Linked DNA regions of Tamandua tetradactyla. The protein of the gene in region 2 interacts with the protein of the main gene of each other region in a pairwise test. Links are inferred from orthologs where the notes say so. Each region holds a gene or a part of one and is shown on either strand. Other genes may lie near its edges. The genes, in order: RPP14 and RPP30.

Region 1 (13,108 bases), on a different chromosome or scaffold from region 2:
TGTAATTCACTTATTTATTTACTTGTACTCCCCCTCACTATCCCAATAGACAACACACTCTACGAGAGACAGGGATCTGTCTTGTTCAATACTATTTTCCAAGGACCTAAAACAGTGCGTCGCGCATAAGAGGCACTCAACATATAGTTTCTGGAAGAAATCAATGCTTCTTAAAAACTCAATCCCCTACTGATGGGCACTTGGGTTGTTTCCAACCCTTCTTGGCTAACGGCCGATATTTATTTAGCGACCACCCCGCGCCAGGCGCGTGCAGCGTGCTTTGCACTCGAGGTCCCGCTCACTCCCCGCAACCACCGTCAGTGACCAAGCCCATAAACCGCGTTGCACTGAGGACCGGAGAGGTTCCTGGGAAGCATCTGTCCTCGGTCCGCAGCCGCCTCTCCTTGACGTTCCAAGCCGGGGCCCACGTGCACCTCCAGCCAGCCTGCGCCACCCGCCGCCTGCTCCCGCCTTACGCATGCGCACGTGGGACGCGCAGCCGTGGGGGAACAAGCACGGCCGACTGAATCCGCTCCGGTAGAATAGCTGCTCTCACGGCGTTTCCGCCTCTGCCGCTTTCGTCGGCCTGGCCTGATACCTGTCCTCACGCCTGTTCACTGATAGAATTTGCAAAGGCTGGGAGCTCCCACGTAGCAGCAAGGGGCTGGGTACCCCGGACACTCCATGAATGTTTATGTTTGGCTGCTTCTTGTGCCGCCCCCGGAAGCATGGTGTCTCGGAGAGGATGTGAGTCACAGCGCAGCTGCACGCTAAGGACCTAGGCTTACATCCTGTACAGGAGCTGAGCGCTGCCGGGCCCAGCGCCCCCTGCTGCCCACTCCGGGAAAGCTGCGTGTGCGAATGTCTGCATGTAAGAACTGTTTTAATTTGCAGTGATGTTAAGATATACTGTGAAAAGGGAAAAGCCCCATGCCATATCTCCAGGATGTGCTGTTATGTGCTCCGCACTATTATAGGTGTTGGGAACTCAATGAAGAGAAAGAAGACATGGTCCCTATTCCCATGAAACACAGAGTGTGTTCACTTTAACAGCAATCATAGAATAATAGGGGCTAATACTGATCTAGCGGTTACTCCGCGCCAGGATTTTCCATAAAATTTTACATATGTTATCTCATGCACCTTCACACAATCTTATGAGGTAACTATTCTTTCTTTTAATGCCATTTTGCAGAAGAGGAAACTGAGGCACGGAGAGACTAGGTTTCTTGACCTCATAACTGTACGTGATGGAGCAGACCATCTGACTCAGCTGGTGCTCCATACTCTGCACCGTGTTACCTACCACCAGTTGTGTGCATGTGACTCAGGAGTTTATAGGGGGCCAGGGCCTTGTCTCTGTTGCTTCACCACTGTGTTCTGATACCTGGCATAGTGCCTAGCACCCAGCAGACACTCTACATGTATTTACTGAATGCATTTGTTCATAACTGCATGTGCCAGTTCTGCCTGGGTTGGGGGTGAAGGGTGTGGAGATATCCCTGCCTTAAACAGCAGAGTCTGGGTCAGCTCAGACATTCTCCATCTTTTCTTTTCTCAGAATCATTGTCTCCAGTTTCTCAAAGCTCCAGTCCTAGCTTTGGCCACACTCTCCAATCCTGCAAGCCCTGCTTCCCTGCCTTCTCCTCTGACAGGAAACAGGACTTGATGCAAATGAGGGAGGGGTGGAGGGAATCAACACAGACTCCACAAACAGTGGCATTTTCTTTCTCAAAAGAGCTTAGATTTTGACAAATACTGTATGGTCTCACCGATAAGAACTAACATTAATGAATGAACTTGGATATTTCAGTTAAGAACAGAGGTCATCGGGAGAAAGAAATAGGGTAGATATTGGGTAATTGGAACTGAAGGGATACAGATTGTGCAAAGGACTGATTGTAAAAATTCAGACATGGATAGCACAATATTACCTAACTGTAATACAGTAATGTTAGAACACTGAATGGAACTGAATGTGAGAATGATAGAGGGAGGAAGCCTGAGGGCACAAATGAGATCAGAAGGAAAGATAGACGATAAAGACTGAGATGGTATAATCTAGGAATGCCTAGGGTGTATAATGATAGTGACTAAATGTACAAATTTAAAAATGTTTTGCATGAGGAAGAACAAAGGAATGTCAATAATGCAGGGCATTGAAAATAGATGGTAATTAATATTTTAAAACTTTAACTTATGTGTGAGGCTAAAGTAAAAAATGTTTATTTGGTACAAAATTTATATTTTGACTGGTGCATTTCCTAATATAACTTATGTGGACAGCTTAACTGAACACCATAAGTACATGGAACCTTGAGTAGGGCATGAGACTTTGTAGGTTTGTCCAGAGTGATGCCTCGATAAATCCCAGAAGAATTTGAAAAGTGAATAAAATAGTATTTGCAACATCTCCTTGGGGGAATGGTGAGAAAGGGCAAAATTCAACTTCCCTAAGTGGAGAATTCTTGATATTCTCACAAGCAGTAAGGACAACCAAAGCAATAGGCTGAGCCCCCAATCTTGGGGTTTCTTCATATGAAACTTAACCCCACAAAGGATAGACTAAGCCAACTTAAAATTAGACCTAAGAGTCACCCCACAAAGAGAACCTCTTTTGTTGCTCAGATGTGGCCTCTCCCTCTCTCAGCCAACACGACAAGCAAACTCACTGCCTTCCCCCTCTCTACATGGGACATGACTGCCAGGAGTGTGGACCTTCCTGGAACATGGGACAGAAATCCTAGAATGAGCTGAGACTCAGCACCAAGCGATTGAGGAAACCTTCTCAACCAAAAGGGGAAAGAGAGAAATGAGACAAAGTAAAGTGTCAATGGCTGAGAGATTCCAAACAGAGTTGAGAGGTTATCCTGGAGGTTATTCTTACACATTAAATCAATATCACCTTTTTAGTTAAAGGGTAACAGAGAGGCTAGAGAGAAGTGCCTGAAAATGTAGAGCTGTGTTCCAGTAGCCATGTTTCTTGAAGATAATTGTATAATGATATAGCTTTCACAGTGTGACTGTGTGATTGTGACAACCTTGCGTCTGATGCTTCTTTTATCTACCTTATGGACAGACGAGTAAAACATATGGATTAAAAATAAATAAATAATGGGGGAACAAATGTTAAAATAAATTTAGTAGATTGAAATGCTAGTGATCAGTGAAAGGGAGGGGCAAAGAGTATGGTATCTATGAATTTCTTTTCTATTTTCTTTTTATTTCTTTTACTGAATTGATGCAAATGTTCTAAGATACGATCATGATGATGAATATACAGTTATGTGATAAAAAAGAATGTTCATATTGTATGTTGATTGGTTTTATTAATAAAAATTAGACAAAAAAGTTTAGATTTTAGAAGTTGTCAGAAGTTGCTTTGAATCCATCCTTTGCCGCTTATTGTTTTCTCATCCATCAGAGGGAGAGATTATGAGTATCTACCTCACAGAATCACAAGGAAAAAAAAAGCTTTTGAAAAAAATTGTAAAACACCTGGCACCCAGGAAGCACTCAGTAATGAGAGAGGGTACCCTAAACCAGCCATCTGGCAAACCCATCCTGCCAGGCTGCAGCCCAGAGACACAAGAGCAGCTCATGCCTTTTGTGCTTCAAAGAACCTTGGATAATTTTCACTATCCTTCTGCATCCAACCCTGAAAATCAAGTGCCTTCCTAATTGCCTGAATTTTCTCAGTGCTGTCTAGTTAATCCAGAGTTGAGGATAAAAGAGATGCCTTTGAATGATAAAGTTAGAGTTGGTTGATTTTTGTTTTTCAATTAAATTTTATCTTTGAATGGGAATTTAGGCTGAAGGCATCCTTTCAAAAGGAATAAAGGGATAAGCAATGAATGGTAGGTTTCCCTCTCATTCTTCTCCAGACGCAAACTGGTATTAGTTTCTTAAATGTCTTCCCAGAGATATGGTATAAGGGGTTTTCCCTCTTAACAGTTTATCCTAACATGACTCCAAATTAAAACACACAGGGCTGCCTCTGCCTTTATAAAAATTGTCCAGCATTCCATTAGGTGGAGTCATTGGCCCTTGAGGAACCATTCCCACACCCTCTGTCTCTCTCATCTTTCAGAGCAAAGGTGTTGGGGCAAATCTGAGAATATTTATGTTCCTGGAAGGTTTGGCAGTCAAGAAAAAGTTTAATCCACATTTTGTTCTCTTCTATTGTGTTCAGCTCCCCTCCCTGTCTTGTTAACTGGTGCCAAGTGAATTTTGCTAAGGCTAAAAGAGCTTTCTCAACTTTGGGGGGAAAAAAAAGGCTGGGGAGAGGCCTGGGTGGGATTCCAGTCTCTTAACTTCTACAGCCTTAATTCTTCTTTAATCAAATGAAAATAGCACCCACTTATGGCATCAGATTGAAAGATAGGACAAAGGAGGAGAAAATGATCAGAAGTTAAAAGCTATGAAACCACAGTTGTTTTCATCTAGGGAGACCTGTCATGTGCCAGAGTGCTTGCTTACATTATTTTACCAACCCAGCAAATGTCATTATTATTATCATCTTTTGCAGATGAATAAAAATGAAGCTCAGAGAGGTTGTCATTTGTCCAGTGTAGTTAAAGGCTCCAAAGCCAAGGTGCGATACTCCATAGCACCCATATGACGATAAGGCTGGTAGCTGCTTCTTTGAGGCAACCCTGAATATCATATCCAAACTGAAAACTGCAGAGCAGACGGTGCTTTAAGCTGGAGTCCCTGGAAGCAGCACTTGAGACAGGGATCTTTCTGCAAGTGATTTATTGGGGAAGAGCTCTCATCTGAAACCTATAAGGGAGAGAGGCAAGCGGGATGGGGTAGAGAAAGCTAAGTACAGATGTGGATTCAACTCAAGTCTAGCCCAGCCTGATCCCACAGGGGTCCCTGGAGCATAAATGACAGCAGAAAGCTTTCAGTCTTTGAGGCCAGTGGCCAAACTTTTCTACTCTCCCTCAGTCATTGTCTTCCAGCATTAGGATTGCCAGATTTAGCATATAAAAATACAGGATGCACTCTTACATGCGTATTTCAGATAAATGACGAATGGGACATGTTTTAGTTTGCTAATGCTGCTGGAAATGCAATATACCGGAAAGGGATTAGTTATTATAAAGGGAATTTATTAAATTACAAGTTTACAGTTTTAAGTTCATAAAAATATCCAACTAAGGATCCAGAGAAAGATACCTTGATTCAAGAAAGGCCAGTCAGGAAGGCACATGGCTGGTGTTGCTGGTCCTTGGGCTTCTGGCTTGAAACAGCTTCCCAGGGGGCGTTTTCTTATTGCATCTCCGAATGTCTCTGTCTGTGTCAGCTCTGAAACTTTTACCAGAATGTTTTCCTCTTAAAGGACTCCAGTAAGGAACTCACTTTGAGTGGGTGGAGACACACCTCCATGGAGAGCACCTCATCAAGAGGTCCCACCCACAGTTGGGTGAGCTACATTTCCATGGAAACAACAGAATAAAAAAAAAGATCCCAACCAACAACATTAAATTAGAATTAAAGAACATGGCTTTTTTGGGGTACACAACAGTTACAAATAGGCACAGGAAATATGTAAATTATTCTTTGTTTACCTGAAATTCAAATTTAACTGGACATCCTGTATTTCATATGGCAACCTCTTAGGTACCTCTGGTCTTCTGAGGGTGATTCTCTGGGGAAAAGGGGAAGCTGTGAGCCCTCAGCAGCCAACACTCATAGCAACTGGGGTTGGGTGCAGCAGTCAATAGAAGGAACCTCGTAGGGCTCTGGCAGCACCCACTATAGGCAGGGACTCTAGAGGCAGCACACTAGTTAATGTTGCCAAACACCAGAAACTCCAACCCAGATTATCAATTCCAAGCCCCCTGAGGATGGCTCTGGGTTCCTCCCTGCTCCCCTGCTTTGGTCCTCCCCTGGCTTGTGTGGGAACCAGAACTAGGCTATTTAACTTCATCTGATCCAGCATTTCTGGAATTTATTTAAATAGTAGTGGAAGCCTTCCTCAGAAGTGACTCTTGAAACCTCCCTTCCAAAGACTCTGGGATGCCAAGAAGGAAGGGTCCTGAGATCCTCTCTTAAGAGTCAAAGGTCCTCTTCTAGGTGTTCAGAGAAGTCTCTGTAAAGATATTTACACCCTCTCCTGCCCCTCTGCCCCTCACTCTCTCTGGAGGACTCCAGCCCTGTTCCTGGAATTGGTGGGTCTGTGGGTTCTGACCTAGTTGAGCCCCAAGATACAGAGGTAAATGAAAAGCACAAAGGGTGGGACCACAGTAATGTCCAGCGCGCCCCTGGTTCATGTGAGAAACAACTCACACACCAACTGTGCGGTCTCTCTGTTTATATCATGTATGGATGTGTGCAGATGCACAGAAACGTCTAGAAGAATTCCCAGTGGCTTGAGGGGGGTGGGCTGCAGGAGACTGTCACATTTTTTTTGGCATTCTTTTTATTTGGTTTGTTTTAAAGTGAGAGAGCTTCATTTTTATAATAATAATGTTAAATAAAAATCAGGACCTGCCCATTCTCGTCATAAGAGGGAGGTCTGAACCACATGCATCTGCAAAGTCTTCTTTCCCCTGCAAAGACCAGTGAATGCGGGATCCCTTATCTGCAGTTCTAAAGCCAAAAAAAAAAAAAGGAAACCAAATCTTTCCTCATTTGGCGCCAACACTTCATCTGAATTGAGGCGAGGCTTTTTATAGCTTTTGTTCCATTTACATAGATATCCATACCTGACACAGAAATATGAATGCATTTCATCAGGTAGGGGTGCCCCAGCCCCTGCTGGGGGCGCTGCATGACAGATGTTCTACACACCACAATGTAACAGAGAAGTTAGGATTTAACAAATGATTATGATTATTTGAATCATTATATGATATTTCCTTTTACTTTTTAGTATATTAGAATAGCCAGAAGGAAATACCTAAACTAACTGAACTATAATTCAGTTGCCTTGATCTTTTTTTTTAGAATCTTTATTATGAATGGTCAATGTTAAAAATGTGAAATATATGGAAACCATTGCTTGTCATTTACACACTGTAGCGGTAGAGATGCAACATCTACTTTATTGCTATATATGAGTACAGATTTTCTTCCTGGGCTGTATGATTTGGAGTTTGCTCCCTTTACCAGAGTCATAATAGTGAAAACTGTCCTTTTGTGTCTGGCTTATTTTACTCAGCATTATATCCTCCCTATGCTGTCATATGCATCAGGACCTCATTTCTTCTTACTGTTGCATAAAATTCTATCATATGTATATACCACATTTTGTTTGTGCACTAGTTGGTTGATGTTTCCATCTTTTGGCAATTATGAATAGTGCCACTATGAGCATCAGTGTACAAATGTCTGTTTGTGTCACTGTTTTCAGCTCTTCAGGTATATACCTAGTATTGGTATTGTCAGGTCACAGGGCAACTTGATATTTAGTTTTTTATTTGATATTTAGCTTTTTAAGGAGCCAGCAAACTGTCTTCCACAGTGGATATCTGTAGCTATTAGAAGTTTCTTTCTCTTCCAAATAAATTTAATAACTAGTTTTTCCAAGTCTTCAAAGTACGTTCTTGGAATTTCGATTGTTATTGTGCTGAATTTGTAGATCAGTTTGGGTAGAATTGACACCTTAATGACATTCAACCTTCCTATCCATGAGAACGGAATGGCTTTCTATCTGTTAAGATCTTCTTTAATTTCTTTTAGCAATGTTTTGTAATTTTCTGTGTCCTTTATATCCCTAGTTAAATTTTTCCTAAATACTTGATTCTTTTAGTGACTATTTTGAATGGCTTTTTTCGCTTGTCTCCTCAGTGAGGTTATTACTCCTCAGTTGACTCCTTAGTTACATCATTGCTTGTGTATAGAAACATTACTGATATTTGTACATTAATCTTGTATCCTACCACTCTGCTGAATTTGCTTATTAGCTCAAGTAACTTTGTCATAGATTTCTCAGGATTTTCAAAGTATAGGATCATGTCATCTGCAAATAATTAAAGTTTTACTTCTTCCTTTCCTATTTGGATGCTTTTTATTCCTTTCTCCTGCCTTATTGCTCCAGCTAGGACTTCTAATAGAATGTTACTGATTTTCTCAAAGAACCAAATTTTTGTTTTGTTGATTTTTTTCTATTGTTTTTGTTGTTGCTGTTCTCCAGCTCATTTATTTCTGCTTTAATCCTAGTTATTTCTCTTCTTCTGTTTGCTTTGGGGTTAGTTTGCTGTTCTTTCTCTAGTTCCTCCAGGTGAGCAGTTCTTTTTTCATATAGGCATTTAGAGCAATAAATTTCCCTGTCACCACTGCCTTTGCCACATCCCGTGAATTTTGATATGTTGTAATTTCATTTATATTTGTCTCCAGGTATTTGCCAGTCTCTAACAATTTCTTCTTTAACCTACAGATTGTTTTTAAGTGCATTGTTTAATCTCCATATATTTGTGAAAGTCCTGGTTCTTTGGTGATTGTTAATTTCCAGCTTGATTTCATCATGATCAGAGAAAGAGCCTTGAATAATTTGAATCTTGTTAAATTTATAAAGACTTTATTTGTGGCCCAGCATATGATCTATCCTGGAGAATGTTTTGTGAGCACTAGAGAAGAATGTATATCCTGATATTTTGGGGTGTAATGATTTATATATATCACTTAGGTTGAATTCATTTATCACATTATTTAAATTCTCTATATCCTTATTGATCCTCTGTCTAGTTGTTCAATCCATAGAGGAGAGTGGTGTGTATTGAAGTCTTCCACTATTAGTGTTGAAACATCTATTGCTCCCTTCAGGTTTTTTTTCTCTCTCTCTCTTTTTAAAAATTTTCTTTAAAAAAAATTTTTTATTGAGAAATATTCACACACAGTCCATCCATAGTGTACAATCAGTGGCTCACAATATCACCACATAGTTGCATATTCATCACCATGATCATTTTTAGAACATTTGCATCACTCTAGAAAAAGAAATAAGAAAAAAGAAAACCTCAAACATCCCACACCCATTACCCCTCCCTCTCACTGAACACTAGTATTTCAATCTACCCTATTTATTTTACCTCTATTCCCCCCCCCCATTATTTATTTTTCCTTAGTGTTTTACTCATCTGTTCATAACCTGAATAAAGGCTCCCTTCAGTCTTGCCAATGTTGCCTCATGTACTTTGGAGCTCCTTGATTGGGAACATAAACATTTATGAGTGTTATTTCTTCTTGATGAATTGTCCCTTTTATATATAATGTCCTTCCTTGTCTCTTTGATATATATCACTTTTACAGTCAATTTTATTTGATATTAGTATGGCTACTCCTGCTTTCTTTTGGTTATAACTTGCATAGACCATCTTTTTCCACCCTTTCACTTTCAATCTATTTGTATTCTTGGATCTAAGATGAGTCTCTTTTAAGTAGCATATAGATGGATATTTTAAAATCCATTTTACCAATCTGTGTCTTTTAAATGGTGAGTTTAGTCCATTAACATTAAAAGTTATTACTTTAAAGGCAGTTCTTAAATCTACCATCTTATTCTTTAGTTTTTGTTTGTCAAATCTATATTTTCTTTTCCCTCTCTCTCTTTTTACCCTCTAAGTTACCTTTATTGATATCCCCTCCAGACCTTCCTCTCCTGTCTTTTGTTTTTATCAGTTGACAGAACTCTCTTTAATATTTCTTGAAGGGCAAGACTCATGTTGGCAAATTCTCTCTACCTTTGTTTGTCTATAAAGGTTTTAATCTCTTCCTTAACTTTGCAGGACAACTTGGCAGGATAAAGAATTCTTGGCTGGATCAAATTTTCATTCAGAATGGGAATTGCATTGATGATCCCCTTTTAGATTTGGCTTATCGGGCTTTCCCTGTTAAACCACATTCAAGATTTCATGGGGCATTGCAGTTCTACTTGAGGCTCTACTGAAAGCTAGGCAGATAGACAATTTGCCAGACTATACTTTCTGTTTCTTCCCAGCAGATGATGCTCTTGAACCACTTCTTCTCCTCAGGCCCACTTCTCCCCGCCTGTAGGTGCTGGTTGAGCTGGAGACCCAATGTAACTCCAGCCAGGGCCACTGGTCTCATTGCACACTGAAAGCTGCCAACCCCAGGGCCAGGGGATGGGCAGTGTGCATCTCAGTGTAGACCCTAGTTGTGTGCCTGATAGGTCTGGTGGCCCCAAGATAACCTTGGGCTGTGGGACTGGGTATTTCAGCTTCTCGTACCCACAGCCAATCTGTAATTGTCTGGCAGCTGGTTGCAGCATTCAGTTCAGCTGGCTTCCTTGGCCTCTCCTCTCTGTCCATGCATGCCTGAGGTCTCTGGGCATCCATGGGGGAGGGGGAGTGATATTGGGACCCAAATAAGTCTCTTTCACTGCCAGCTGTCGGACTGGCACCACTTTGTGTCTCCCCCTCCTCCCTGGGAGAGGGCCCCCAAGTCTCCACCAAAAAAGACCAGTGCCACAGCAGCATGTTTCAGTGGTAGAGAGCAAGCATTGTACTCTAACAAAATGATTTCTGTGCACAAGGAAAGCAAGTCTGTTAGCTTCTGAGTTCCCCATGAACACTCCTGGCTGTGGAGCTGTGAGGAAAAACCTCCCAAGCCAGCTGTGGGGTAGGCTGGATTCATGACTGAGCACACTTACCCCATCCTCTCTGTCTCAATTTCTCCACTTTTTTATTCAGGGCCTTCTTATACAAGGTAGAAGATCCTCTCTGGTCACTTGCACCCTGGAACCATTGTCCTGGTGATTTTTTCTGTTCCATCTCTCATTTTTACATGGAGCCAGTGTGAACTTAGCCTCTCCTATTCTACCATCTTCCTAGAAGTTCAGTTGCCTTGATCTTTGATAATGACTGTATGACTATAGCCTTTATCTTGTGATTGTAAAAACATTGTGACTGACCCTCACTTGTACCCCTTACCCTGTTTTCAACCTTAGAGTCTTATGATCACTAAAGACAGCCCCTAATGTTTATTAATGAAGGATCTTGAGTCAGCCCAGAACTAACCCACCCCAATTCCATCTTGCTAAATAGAGCTGGATTTAACCAAAATTGGCCCACCTGACAATACAGTGGCTAAATTTTAACCTAGAAATGACCTATACCTCATTCTAAAATCATACCTGTCATCATATTAATGTTGCCATTTTCTTACACACATTCTGTGACTAAGCACGTAATCAATCTGCACATGCTCAATGATTAGATTATCTCTAACGGCATCATCTCAAGCCGTTATACTCATTATCCTACAATCTGCCCATCTTTTGATATTATAAAACTATCAGAGGTACTACAGTTTGGGGAGACAGATTTTTAAGCCAGTAGGTCATCCGATCTCCTGCTTCATGCTTTAGCAATAAACTATTTCTCTCTTGAAACCTGATACCTCAGGAACTGCTCATTTGAGTGCATCGGGCAGAGAAACCACTGCTTTTGATTGGTATCAATGGTACCTTTCTAAGATCAGAAAATTTATGAGTTCTCTACCACATCTAGCCCCATGATTTAGTAGGGGATTTTGGTAAGGGAGTGTAGACCCGTCCTCAAGCTCATGTTTTGGCAGCTGCCTTTCAGGAGTGGTCCTTCAAGGCCAGTCACCCTGTCACCCACCAGCCAGCTTTGACCGGGGGTCATTGGGATTGTCACCTTAGTCCAGTTTCTGCCTTGAAGAATCCTTCTTCCCTCCCTCCCTCCCTATGTGGGACATGACTCCCAGGGATGAGCCTGGACCTGGCATCGTGGAAGTGAGAAAGCCCTCTTGACCAAAAGGGGAAGAGAAATGAAACAAAATGAAGTTTCAATGGCTGAGAGATTTCAAACAGAGTTGAGAGGGCATGTGGAACATTATTCTTATGCATGATATCATTATATAGATATCCCTTTTCAGTTTATGGTATATTGGAGTGGCTAGAGGGAAGTCCTGAAACTGTTAAACTATAATCCTGTAGCCTTGATTCTTGAACATGACTGTATAATTATATAGCTTTTATGGTGTGTCCGTGTGATTGTGAGAACCTTGTGACTGACACTCTCTTTACTCAGTATATGGACAGATGAAAATAAAGACAAATAAATAATAGGGGGGAGATAAGGGGTATAGGATGTTCTTGGTGTTCTTATTTATTTATTTTGGAGTAATAAAAGTGTTCAAAAATTGTTTGTGGTGATGAATGTGTAACTATATGATGACACCGTGAACCACTGATTGTACACTTTGGATGATTATATAGTATGTGAACAGATCTCAATATAATTGTATTTAAAAAAAGGAATCCTTCTTCTCCTCCCTTCCCCTGCTGAAGCTCAGCTGGTCTCCAGCCTCTGTGTGGCCTAAGGTTCCTATTCATTGTCATTAGTGTTTGGAGACCACAGATTCAGGAACCAATCAAGGAAAGGTTCTTCTAGGAGCCAAGACAGAGGGATTCTCCTGTTGCTAAGTGTCTTGACTCTCCTTGAGTACAGGCATCCCCAGCCCCCACACTGGTTATTTCCAGCCTAAAGAGCAGCAGCCCTGGGCCCTAATTTCCCAGGGACAGCTGGGGACACCAGACGGCAGCGCAGGGCTTTCTCCCTCAGGTAATTTGCAGACATCTCCACTGCCCTATCTGTGGCCACACTCACAACCCCCGCATAAAAATGATCCTCCACTTCTTGCCTCCTTCTAGGGAATGGAGAAGTTAAGAGAACAGCATCCAATTCCCTGTGGGGCGGGTTGAGGGACAAGTGACTTATAAGGGAACCAAGCCCACAGGGTTAAAGGAATGGCACTGGAAGAGATAAAACCTGATGGATCAGAAGAGCCAGGCCTCCAGCTGTTAGGGGAGAAGGGGAGAATGTGTCTGCATGTGCCCATGCATGGGGGTGACAAAGAGAGAGACAGAGATGAAACACAGAGATGAAACAGAGGAATACCAAGAATTAAAAACAAAAGAAAATCACCACCCTCCCCCTGTCTACATGGGACATGACTCCCAGGGATGTGGACTTTCCTGGCAACATGGGACAGAAATCCTGGAATGAGCTGAGACTCAGCATCAGGGGATTGAGAAAACCTTCCCAAACAAAAGGGGGAAGAGTGAAAAGAGACAAAATAAAATGTCAATGGCTGAGAGATTCCAAACAGAGTC
Region 2 (12,784 bases):
CTTAATGCAAATTAAAACACTAGATGTGCAAGAAGTAACCGAGATACGAAGGACGGAAAAGAATGCATGTAAAGGTAAATACTGAATTATTGGTTTTTTTTTAAAAGATAACCTCAAACTTATGTTGTAGGTATATGCATGTGAAAAGACTAGAAAATATGTAAAATCTCTGAACAATGGGGTGATGTGGGACATTTTTTTACATCTGATTGGCATCTTCTAAATTTTTACGATAAACCTCTTAGATCGAGAAAAGAAAAAGTGGTATAAAAGTTAGAGGAGGAAAATGGAGGGGTTAAGTTAAGTAGCAGGTGCTGTACTTAGAGGGAAGCAGGCTTGCTAGGCAGACTTGTGCTGAGGCAGAGCAGGCCCTAGATCTTACAAAAAGTCAAGACTAAGGATTCTTTGCCCTCCTCCTGCACACCCCCACTTGGGAAGGGGACAAAAAGGGGCCTCCAGGATGCTCATAACAAGAGAAATGAAAATCTTTATGATCTACAAAATAAGCTTCATTTATATCTATCTGGGCCTAGAGAACCATAACACTGTCTTGCAGCTGTAGAAAAAATCACCTCTTTCTCTAGCAGCCTCTGGGGGGGCACCATTAGCTCATAGCTGAGTCTTTCCAAGATTTCTTTAATTACTCCTGTTCTATGATAAAGGTATCCATTCTAGCTAAAGATAAAATAGCCACCTATACTCTGAAAAGTGTATCTGCTCACTTTCTCTCTACCCCATTGGGTCCTTACCATAAGCAGGCATACATATTCAAGTCTTGCCCACCTAAATTACTATACAGCAGGTTCTCCACCAACCACCCTACTCTCTCATCTGTGGAATCAAATTTCTCAGCAAGGTCAGAAGCATACACTAGCTGCATTTTTTAATTTTTGCTAAGGCCACTGATGACTTCCCTGTCCAAGAGACATTTTTTTAGCCCTTCTCAATCACTCAAGCACATTTGAGGCTGTTCACCTCTCTCCTCTTCCCTTCTCACCTTCGTGTTTTCACTCCTACTTCTCAGCAGTCCCTGCTCATCTCCAGTCCTACCTCATCCTTCTCTACTCCACCAATAAGTGCTAACATTCCTTGAGACTCTTTCCCTTACTCTTCTCATGTCATACCTTGACCAGTCTTTTCTACTTCCAAGATTTCAATTACTCTCTACAGAATGACCACTTATAAATCAGTAGCTGTAATTGGGATCACGCTTCTAAGGGCCCCACCTTCATTTCCAACGGCCTATTTGAAGGCTCCACTGGAATTCACAATAATTCATCACATCCCAAATACAATGCCCCCAAAACTGCTGCTCTGTGTGCCCTTTCTCTGGATAAGGTACCATTATTTACCTACCTGGTGGTTCAGTCAACACCTCCATCCAATCAATCACCAAATCCCGACAATCCTCCCTACTGGATGACTCTCAAAATTCCTCCTTAAATCTCTGATCCTTTTTTCTATAGTGCAAATCTCATCATTTTACTCTCTTGGTTAAAACCATCAGGGGCTTCCCACTGAACCTGGAATCCTCACCCATACTTCTCTAACCTCACTTCAGGCTAGCCAGCTCACTAGGCTCAGCCCAATTGGCCCTGTTTTACATCCCAGAACATACCACGATCCTTTCGACTTCAGGACCCTTGCACAATCCATCCTCTGTGTGAGAACACTACCTCTCCAACTTGTCACCCATGTAACAATGGTTCTTCAGGCCTCAGCTTGAATATCAACTTCCTCAAGAAGAATATCAAGATGGCCACCTTGTTACACACTCCCACAGCATCTTTTATTTACCAACCCCCCTTCTAAACCTTACTTACATTTGTCATTATTATTTGCTCAGTGCTTTTCTTGCCAATTAAGTTGTGAGCTTCATAAGTTCAAAGGTCATATATACTATTCATAGTATCATGCTCAGCATTCAGCCTTATGCCTGGTACATGTGAACTGAATGAACAGGATTTGCCAAAGGATTCTTTGATCATGGTATCACTATACAGGTACGATGAGTAGAACTAAGAGAAATCTGAGGATGGGGGAGGAGTCAGTATTATGGGAAGGGGTGGGGAAGATGTCAGTATGGTGTGAGATGAAAAGCTACACTGTTCAACATTAATCAATAAAACTTGCAGGACCAAAAAGAGAGAAGGAAAAAAATGAACTTACCAAAACCTTGCAGTGAGATGGATCCGAAACAATAATTGTCAGTCTAGTTAAAATTTTAATTGGTCTTGATTTTCCCTATAAGTAAAAGTGGACCATCAAAAGCAGCTCAAAATACCACTGGTTGGCTTTCCTCTTTATCATCACAAAGTATTCATTACAAAGTATCAGCTATAAGGGACACTGAAGATCAAAAAAACAAATAAACCCAACCCCCAAAACAGAAAACAAAAGCAAAACTAACTAGTCATTGTCATCAAGGAATTTATATATAACTACAGAAGCAGAGATGCACATACATTAAACCATAACAGAGATAACCTGAAAGTTGTTTAATTTCAAGGGATAAGATCCCAAAGAAGTACCAGGGATGATAAGAGAATACTTCACAGAAGAGCTGAGATTTGATGGAAAAGTAAGGTAGCTAGGCAAAGGAAGGTACAATCCAGATTACAGAAAGCACACATAATTGGGTATGTCTAAATTAAATGAACAGGAATTATGCTTTGTTCACACTAAAACACTTACCTGTACAATTGGCAAAGTTGTGAAGAGTTCAGAAACAGCTACTGGTTTTTCAATTTCCTACAAAAAAATAGAAAGGACTAAATATCGTGATTACAAATTCAGTCAATAGGCACCTTTAAAATGGTAATCAAAGTGACTTATTTAATGTTGAATCAACTTTAAGAATCCTTACAGCACGCAGTTCTTCACAAAAATATTTATCATTTGCACAGTAAGCATCAATTCACAACTGTTAACATACAAGAGAATACTGCACACAGAGAGTGCATTTAAGAAGTATGTTCATTTGTAGCATCCATATTACCAATATAAACACAAGTAACTATAAACATTGGTTTATTAAGCTCAGAAATTGTATTTTACCTGTTTCTTTTCCTTAAAGTCAACAACATGATTGATGGCAACAACTGAATAGCCAACTGAAAAAAAAAAATTAAAGATTCTTGTTAAACATAACTCCTTTCTGTACATACAGGCCCATCCTGTTTTAGCAGAGTGATGTGCAGACTCTGGTCTCAGATTGTCTAGTTTCAAATCCAAGTGCTACCACTTAGAATTATTTAACTGTAAGTTTCAATTCTTCATCTGTCAAATGGAGATGGCAGGACTTAGGTCATACAACTTTCATGAGAATTAAATGAGCTAACACATTTGAGGTACTTTAGAAGAGGTCTAGCTTTATATGATTAGCAAGATACTAAAGACTCTCTATTTTGTGCTTCTCCTTTCCAACCATCATTCTCTTTCATTCCCCTTTGTTCATTTTCATTCTATTAATACTTTTTCTCTCTCACCTATCTTTTCACTCATTTCTTTTGCTTCTGATCCTATATCCTTCAAAAGCCTCTCTCCTAAAGAGAAATGAAGTACTAACTTCCTCACACCACCATCTACTTCCCATTTGAGCTGCCCACCATCAAAAGATTTTCTTGAGGCCAGGCGCTTACTTTATCATTCTCATCCAATTGACACCGTTCTGAACATCCGGCTACCAAACATATGTCTAAATTATGACTTCTATTTTTAAGGCACTTAAACCTTAATGGGGATGATGGCACAAATATTAAAAGATAATGCCTATTAATGAAAAATAGGGGTCTTCTCTCTCACCAGTCTGTCTACACTCCTGCCTTCTTTCCTTCCTCCCTCCCTCCACTTCTTCCCTTCCTTCTTCCTTCTCTTCCTCCTTCAGATGTTTACTGAGCATCCACCACCTGCCAGGCCCCCTGCTAGGTGCTGAGCGCACAGGGTAAATAAAACAATACAATCCTCACCCTCAAGAAGCTTACACTCTATTGGGGGAAATAAGGCAATTAAACAAGGAGCTGCAAAAAAAAAAAAAAAAAAAAAGCATTTTGTTAATGAAAGTAAAGATTCTATAGGAATCCAGCATACAGCAAAATGAAGCCAGGTGTAGGGGGTCAGAAAAAGGCCCAGGAAGAAAATGATCTTTAAAAGTAAACACCTGAGGGGAAGAGAAATTTGTCATACTTTGGCCTCTACTTTCTCCCAGTTAGTCAAATCAACCTGCTCCACTTCTTAACTATTCTTCTCTACTCACTCCAAAGTCTACTCTAACCTCTTGTACCCCACTTGGATATCCTTTATATTGTTGGCCACCAAATAATATCCCTACTGCCCTTCAGAAATCTCAACTAGATTCTGTTTCTTCAGAAAACTTTTTCTACTTATCTGGTAACTTAGGAATACTTCCCTAAGTAGTCTTTAGCATAATTATTATTTAGATAGCATATCTCTGAAGTTAATCACTAGTTTCTTATCACATCGCAAACTAAAAACAGGGACTCTGTTTTCTACATTCTTTGAAAATTTTCCACCCATCAAATAACAGTGCTTTGCCTTCTGACTTATATAAGGTGTGGTAACTTTCTGTTTTATGTCATGAATTCTGCTTAATTTTAAAGAAACAGATTGACTAACAATGTCAATACTTTACCATATATCCTTCAAACATATTTTTAATTCAAGTAACTTGTTAAACAAACCATTTTAATTTTTCTTTTCTGTATTTATCTCTAAAAAATGTTCAGTCTTTTATTCCATAAGCATTAACTGAGAACCTGCCATGAGCCAGTGCTGCTGAGTAACTGTTGTGCCCAGGAAATATATTGAAGAATAAGACTATGGCCCCTCTCTGAAGAAGCTCATGGTGTAGTCAGTAAGAGGCTGCATCAGGAAAGAAAGACTTGAGTTGAGCTACATTCAAGTAAAGAATCATCAAAGAATATAAGTGTTAAAAGACCCATATCATCATGCACAATCCCTTTTTCTACTGATGAGGAAAGCAGACCCCAGGCCGACATTACTAGACTGTGTTGCAAAGGAAAGAAAAATGATTTAAGGATGCCTCATGGGGGTGTGGGGGGTGACGGGGAAGGCAAGAAGAAACGCGGTGATTCTTTTTGCCAGGGAGTGAATTTATCCAGCACCATTTCTGAGAAGTATCAGTTATCAATTCTCACAACAAGCTGAGAACTTTCTCTGAGGGAAAGGTCTTAATGAAGGAATCTCTATCTTCTAAGTTCTCTATCCCCTCACTTTACAGTCTAAGAAGTTAGAAGCCATGCTTAGCCCCAATAATTAGTCCTCATCACTCAGGACCTTCGCTTCTCTTCAATTCAAATATTTGCAACACTTCCACCTTTTGGTTGTGCTGCCTAGTGTGTCCCCCTCCTCTACCTAACCCCCCTTCTAAATAAATAACATTATTCAAACACACGCACCTCTATATTCTCCCCCTTCTCTGAGCCCCCAAGCACTCTACGTACTCGATTCCCGCATTTGCTCAGACATTGTCGTGAGAGGCAGGGAGGAGTGATGTTCAAAGCACTAGCTTGGGAAACTGAACATTTGGAGTCTAGCCCTAACTTCGGCCATCCCTTTCAGCCGTGAGGACCTAAACAAATCTCTAGTCCCCTCTAGGCCAAGGGTTCCCCAACCTGCAGAATAAAAGGAGCTGAACTAGTGACATTCTTCCCTAGTTCCTTAGTGTTCCACGGGTCTGGGATCAGAATAAGACCGCGGCGGGCATCAACTTCTTGGGACCTTCCAGAAACCCTGGAAGACCTGAAGGAGGCCTGGGAAACTCGGGAGACTCACGGTGAGCGGCGTTCTCTATCACCCCCCGCAGAGCCTTCAAGTCGGAACCCGCTCGAACATCCAAATCTGCAAACACCGCCATGCTGCAGTCACATGACAGCGCGCGTGCGCCCATCTGCGCAGTCGCCGGACCGCCCCTGAGCATGCTGGGAATTGTAGTTTGCCTGCGGCATCCGTCCGTCCCTCCCTCCAGTGGAATATTTGCTGGAGTTGGATATTTGAATATAGGGAGTCCCGGAGACTTTCGTCCGCCTGTAAATACGAGGAAAACTTAGGATATCAAAATCAACAGCCCCACTTAATCCTTTTGTCTTTCGAATGAAAATGTGTGATTTCCCCATAGAGAGGTTCGAATCCCCCATGATTCTCCCTTTAAAATAATGTAGAAAATGATTCATTCGAAATGCATTTACTGAGCGTCTTCCGTGACTTTTTTTTTTTTTTTTTTTTTTTGCTATCCTTTTTGCTAAGGGCTGGAAGCGCTATTTAAAGAGTCAGAAAGAACTTGTTTTTCTTACAATTCCCCCTACCAATCCAATCGTTCAAAACGTGCTTAACGTGATGGGGTGGAGGACGAGGGTACGGAGCTGGATCCTAACGCATCTGAAAAGGGTTGCCCGAGCAAAGGGCAATTTATTGTCCGATCTGAAAGGATCGCGTTGATGCTCTTTGCTCGTTGTTGCAGTAGTCAACATCTTCAACCAAGAGGTGGCAGGGCTCCCTTGGTTGAGCGCTGAGCGACACAGGGTTGATAAGGAAGGTGCAAAATTGAAGTGTTTCACAATTCTCCATCTGAGAAATGTACAAAGTGCTGTATGTCCACACATTTGATGTTTCCATATTTTGGACTTTACAATTCTCCATCTGAGAAATGTACAAAGGGCTGTATGTTCACACATTTGATGTTTCCATATTTTGGACTTCGTATAGATAAGCTTTTGACCACATCTCAATTGCTCTATGCTCTGTTGAATGAGTCCACTGATCAGGCGTATGGATGTTTGGATAATACCAGAGTGCTGGTAAAGTTTTCTAAACATTTTTGATTTCTGTACTTACCGTCAAAATTAGTGGTCCATAGCCATATTTTATGTAGTACTTCTTTATGTGACTTCCTTGTTGGACTCAGAGTTTTATGAAGAATCTGTTCCCTGTAGTAGAATGCAATTCTTCTCTTAGTTAAATTTTGTAAAGAAGGAATATTTCGTCTTTTGCAATACTTGATATTTTCCTACGTGAGAACTGAAGGAAATACTACGTTTGCAAATAGAACAAAGTCATGAGAAGCAAACCGTTTGTTTTGCGTCAGAAAATAGTGTTGATTTTGCGGGATCCTACAGACAGTTTCGCCTATGACCACAAACTCTAGATTGGTCAGAAACATGAATGTGTGGTGAAGGTAAATAACATAATTTAATTGTCATCTAAATGGCAGCATTGGGACTAAAGAGGGCCTTTTCCTTTGAAAGTCACCATGCTGCTGCTGTAGACTGTACCCCTGGAATTTTTTTTCTCCTCTGCACCCTAAGCCTAGGTAAAAAGGGAGAGAAAGTGTGAGAAAGAAAAAGAATAAATAACAAGTCACTGAGCCCTTTACTGAGGATTAGGTGATTAAATAGATAGCCACATATGAATATCTTATTTAATTCTCAAAGCAACTGTGTGAGTTAAGTACTATTTTTGTCAACACCAGTGTTTCACATCTGAGGAATCAAAGCTTAGGGAAACTGGTAGAAACAGATGTGGATGTAGATTTAGATGGGATTTGCTCAATTCTCAGTGGAATGGGGAGAGTGGAGAAGAGAAGGGAATGAAGAGGACAAGGAAAGGCTGGAGGGGAGAAGTGAGAGAGGAAAGGGAAAGCAAGGCAGGAGAGAGAAGGAAAGGAAAGAGGTAGAATAGGGGAGGGAAGAGTGGGAAAAAGGAAATGATGGGATGGGATAGGAGAGGAGCAGTGAAGGAGGCTGGTGAAAAGTTGGCCTAGAAGGGTGGCTGAAGCAGCAAGGATCTGGAGCTTAAAGAAGACTCTGGAAATTTCTGGTCAGAAAATAATATTGAAAGTGGGAAAATGAAAGACAGGGAGAAGGTTTGTATGTTTCCAAAAATTAACATTAAAGCATGTTTGATTGAGAAGATAAAGAGTAGCCCTACCTCTTTAACATGAAAAGTGTACTGGAACAAAATAGGCAACTTTAGAAGCCATTTTGAAAGAAATTAAGGAAGGATTATAACTGATATATGGAAAAGATGCATTATGATAAACTTAATGAATGGAAATAAAGAGAACCAAAATGTCAATAGGATTTGTTTTTAAATAAAGATTGCTGTCTTGAAATTGTTGCATATTAAGTGAAAAATAACTGCCCAGGCAACTGAAACTTTTTACAGAAGGCATGCTTACAAGTAATATTTATTGAAAGCAACAGGAAGATCAGGCCCTAAATAGAAACTAGCATTTTCAAATGCAATAACGAAAAATCCTATTGCTCAGAATGTTGGATAAATGGCTTACAACTTGCAGGATAATTTCATGAAAAACTGAATTATTTTTGGTATTTTCCATTGCAGCTGATAAGAGAATAAATATATAAAAGCTATCTGTGTTAAGAATTTTGACGTGACTAAAAATCTTTAGAGATGGTGGCCAAGAAAGGCACAACATTAGGAGACAGTGTGTTTTCGTGGACGGTTAAAAGTCTTGAGGATTTTAGAGTAGACTGGTCAGAATTGATAAGTATGACTATAGATGGGACTCCTGCAGGTGTCAATCAGTGTTAACATAACTTATGAAACATAAGCTTAATGTGGCAATATTTCATCAGGGCACAGAACTTAATCCAATCTAGTATAAATTGTCCAGAAAATTCCTAGAGCTGTTGTAGCAAAGTTCCACAGATTGGTGGCTTAAAACAACAGAAATTTAGTCTCAGTTCTGATGGCTGGTAGTCCAAAGTCAAGATGACCTCAGGGCTATGGTCCCTTTGAAACTTGTAGGGAAGAATTCTTCCTTAGCTCTTCCTACTCTGATGTTTGGTAGCAATCCTTGGAATTTCTTGCTTGCAGCTGTGGCATTTCAATTTCTGCTTCCATTCTTTATCTGTGTGTCTGTGTCTACATTTCCCTGTTCTCATGAGCACACCAGTTATTTTGAATTTAGGGTCCATCCTAATCCAGTGCGACCTCCTTTTAGCTAATTATATCTGCAAGACCCTATTTCTAAATAAGGTCACAATCTGAAGTTTCGGATGGACATAATTCCTTTTTTGGGGGGAACATTATTCAATCCAGCACATCTCCCAAATGGATCCCACTGTTCTCATTAGTAGACCTATATTACAAAAAAATTGTAATGAGATGCCACTGCTGTATTTTGAATTTTCTAAAAAAACCTTGTAGAAATTTGTTTTCTTTCTTGACATTTATATGGCTACACAATAGCCTTTGTTTTGCATCTTGGCCGACAATACCTAACATACTTACTGTCTGGCCCTTTACAGAAAGAGTTTGCTGATCCCTGCCCTAAGTCACTGCTTAACAACAGTGTTCTAACAACACTCTGTCTCAGTTTGCCAGAGCTGCTGTCACAAATACCATGAAGCGGTTTTGGCTTAACAACAGGAATTTATTGGCTTATGGTTTTGAGGCTAGAAGAAGTTCCAAATCAAGATGTTGGCAAGACTTGCTTTTTTGCTGAACCCTATACATTCTGGTTCTGACTTCTGGCAGTCCTTGGGGTTCCTTGGCGTGTATCCCTGCCTCCCATCAAATGGAGATGTGCTTTTTTCTGTTGGCACTTCCTGTTTCTGCTGACTTCTGGCTTCTCCCTGTGGCGCTCTCTAATCCTGCATCTGATTTCTTCTCTTTATAAGGCCTCCTATGTGGATTGAGATCAACCCCGATTCAGTTGGGCCACACCTTAACTAAAAATATTTCTTAAGGGTCCTATTTGCAATAGTTTCATACTCACAGGAATGCAGATTAAGCACATGTCTGAATTGGGGTACCTAATTCAATCCACTAAGCCCTCTATTCCACCTCCCATTTTACCCCTGGGGAGCATTTGGAAATTTGTGTGGGTATTTTTTTGCCTGTCACACTAATTGGGAGGTGGACTGGGTGATATAAGGTGGGAAAGTCTTGTGCAATGAACATATATCCCTTGTTCTACACGAATTTTGAATGTCTTAACAGACATTCATATGGAGGGAAACCTGTTTATGATTATGTGAATATGGAAACTAACTTGGTTTTACATATAAACACAATTTTTTCCCACAATTTTAATAAGCACAGAATTTTCCAGGAATGCAACTAATGGGTAAATAGAGGGAAGACTGTGCTTTATTTGGAATTTTTTATAAGGGTTGTTCCCTATTTCAGAATATCATGTCATCATAGCAACAGTATGCACACTGTTTAGGTTAACAATGCAGCATACTTATATGGTGTGTGTGTATATATATATATATATATATATATACATATATACACACATATATATATATACACCCACACACAGACACGTTCCCATACACATAAACACACACATATATAATCATCTAATATATCTTACCTAATATATGCTATGTAAGTAAATATATAAATAATAATAAGTATATATATACATACTTAACTCTTATTCAAAATACTGCATATAAATTAGAGGTGCTGACAACATTCAATTAGTTATCTTGTCTTACATCTGAACACCTTTATTAGGAGTAGATACAAGTATCTATTTTATTATATTTTTGATCCAGTGGTGCCCAAACATTCACATACTTAAATGTATATTTATTTATTCTTTCCTTTTTTTTCTGAACTATATTACAACTTGGGAATTAAGTATATTTAAAATTATGTTTATAAACTAGGAAAGGAGCATTACAAAATATTTTATTTAAAAAGCCGATTTTGGATCTAATAAGTTGAGAATCATTGCCCTGAATAAAAATCCACTGTGCTTAGAATCTATCCCTTTTAAGAAATATTTCTATTTCTGCAAAATGATTTTTGGTTATGAAAATCAATAAAACTGAATATTGTTTCTATTTGGCACAATCAAGCCTGATTTCTTGGATTGCACACAGCAATACAGTAATAATAATACTGCGTTTGTCATTTTAGTTTAGAAAAATGCATCAAGTTTCCAGTTTCAATCAAGGAATACTGAATTATTTTTTAAAAATCAGCTAAATATTTCTACTTCTCAAGTTGTATATTTTCAATTTAATATATAGTTTACAGCATGGTTTTGCAGTCTCAGCACTATTAACGTTTTGGGCTAGATAATTATTTCTTTCTTGTAGGGGCTGCCTTGAGCACATGGGATGCTTTGCAGCACTCCAGGCTTCTACCCACCAAATTTCTACAACTGTGCAATGGAAAAAGTCTCCAGACCTTGCCAAATGTTTCCTAGGGCACAAAATCCCAGGCCAATAACATTTTAGTGCTCATGGTAGGTAATTGCAGAGGATAGGGATTGGTGAATGTTTTTTTGTTTGTTTGTCTTGGAAGAGAGGTTCAGAAAGCCCGTAGGATGGGGAAAATATCTTAAGATCATAGAAGAGATGTGAATTGGTTTTCCTTAGGTAATAGGCACTTTCAGGGAAGTGGGCAAACTTCTTTTGGGAAGGGATGATCGATGTACCTTTTGAGGCTAGGCCTTAGATCCTAGGTGTCCAGCAAAGTCAAGGTCTCCACACTACAGAAGGGCAGAGGAGACATAGCACTGCTTGGTGGGACCAAGATTCCAGGACTATTCTGTAGTCTGGGGGTGAGGGACAGGGCAGGGGAACCCATAATAATGACTGTAGTTGAGTTTCCCATCAGATAGATAGGTTGGGGGGTGGTCAGAGGTCATATTTAATTTGACTTTAGAAAAATTATGTGACACTTCTTGCACAGAGTAAAATTTATACCCACCTCACATAGCATACGTTTCTCTATGATCTGCCCCTACCCCTCCCTAAAGTCTACCCTTACCATCTTCCAGTGCATTCTAAAATACACAGCTCTGGCAAGTGTACCATGTGTTGGCTTTGCACCTTCCTTTCTTGCAGTCTTCTGATGAATTTTCTCAAATGTTAGCTCTGTGAATTCTTTGGTATCTAAAAAGAAGCATCTCTTTGCTCTAGGCTCCCATATCTTTGATTCATACCTATTTTATGAGGTATTTCACATTACGCTATAGTGATTTACTTATCTGTCTTGTCCAGCAGGTACTGATTATCTGCAGTGCAGGGAACCTGCCTTTCTTATCCATCCTTAGCACTTAAAATGCTGCCTTTTAATATGTAGCTTGTATGTGTTTACTGAATGACTCAAAGAATGGATCAGGTATAGTTTTGCCTGGATGTGGAGTCATGACCATGATGGAAATGTTCAGTTTAGATATTATTTTGAAGAATACAGGATTCCCCAAATTCTGCTGAGCATTAGAAAACAAAGAATAAGATGCATCCTGTCAATTCTTTAATGAAAGTCTCTTTTCATTCTTTCTATTTTGATTCTTTAAACACCCCCTCCCCTTTAGCTTCTGCCCCAATTTCCTGCTACCCTTTCTGGAAAACTCCTGCAAAAGGTAGATCTATACATATAGTCACCATTTTCTCTCTCTCATTATCTTTTTTTTTTTTGGTGCATGTCCAGGAATCGAATCTCATCTTTTTTTTTAATCAGAAAAGTTGTCTAATAAAAAAATGTTGTGCAGAAAGTACAGAGTTCTCATACACTCCCCCACCTCCCATCCCCATTATTAACGCCTCAGTCTCCTTGTCTCTTGAATCTATTCCAGACTGCTTTTATCTCTATGGCCCTAATGAAATAGCTCCTGGCATTTGACTCAGTTAATCAATCCTCCGCCCTGAAATGCTTTCTTTCCTTGATTTTAGGCAGCCAATCTCTCTTGCGTCTCCTCCTAACTCAATGGCCTTTCCTTCTCAGACTTTTTTTGCTGGTTTTTCTTCTT

What was found.
Region 1: the proteins of RPP30 (region 2) and RPP14 interact in binary tests that used the Homo sapiens proteins (3 or more experiments, as listed by UniProt). The link is inferred for Tamandua tetradactyla from reciprocal best matches to the Homo sapiens genes RPP30 and RPP14.

What each region holds. Positions count from the first base shown.
Region 1 is NC_135341.1:26,595,335-26,608,442, forward strand, and holds the start of RPP14 (ribonuclease P protein subunit p14), read right to left. Parts: upstream 5,289-13,108; 5' UTR 5,182-5,288; intron 758-5,181; exon of another isoform or gene 356-757; intron 302-355; exon of another isoform or gene 1-301. UniProt on the Homo sapiens protein: Component of ribonuclease P, a ribonucleoprotein complex that generates mature tRNA molecules by cleaving their 5'-ends.
Region 2 is NC_135339.1:54,518,214-54,530,997, forward strand, and holds the start of RPP30 (ribonuclease P protein subunit p30), read right to left. Parts: upstream 5,922-12,784; 5' UTR 5,897-5,921; coding exon 5,815-5,896; intron 3,114-5,814; coding exon 3,058-3,113; intron 2,752-3,057; coding exon 2,695-2,751; intron 2,245-2,694; coding exon 2,170-2,244; intron 1-2,169. UniProt on the Homo sapiens protein: Component of ribonuclease P, a ribonucleoprotein complex that generates mature tRNA molecules by cleaving their 5'-ends. Also a component of the MRP ribonuclease complex, which cleaves pre-rRNA sequences.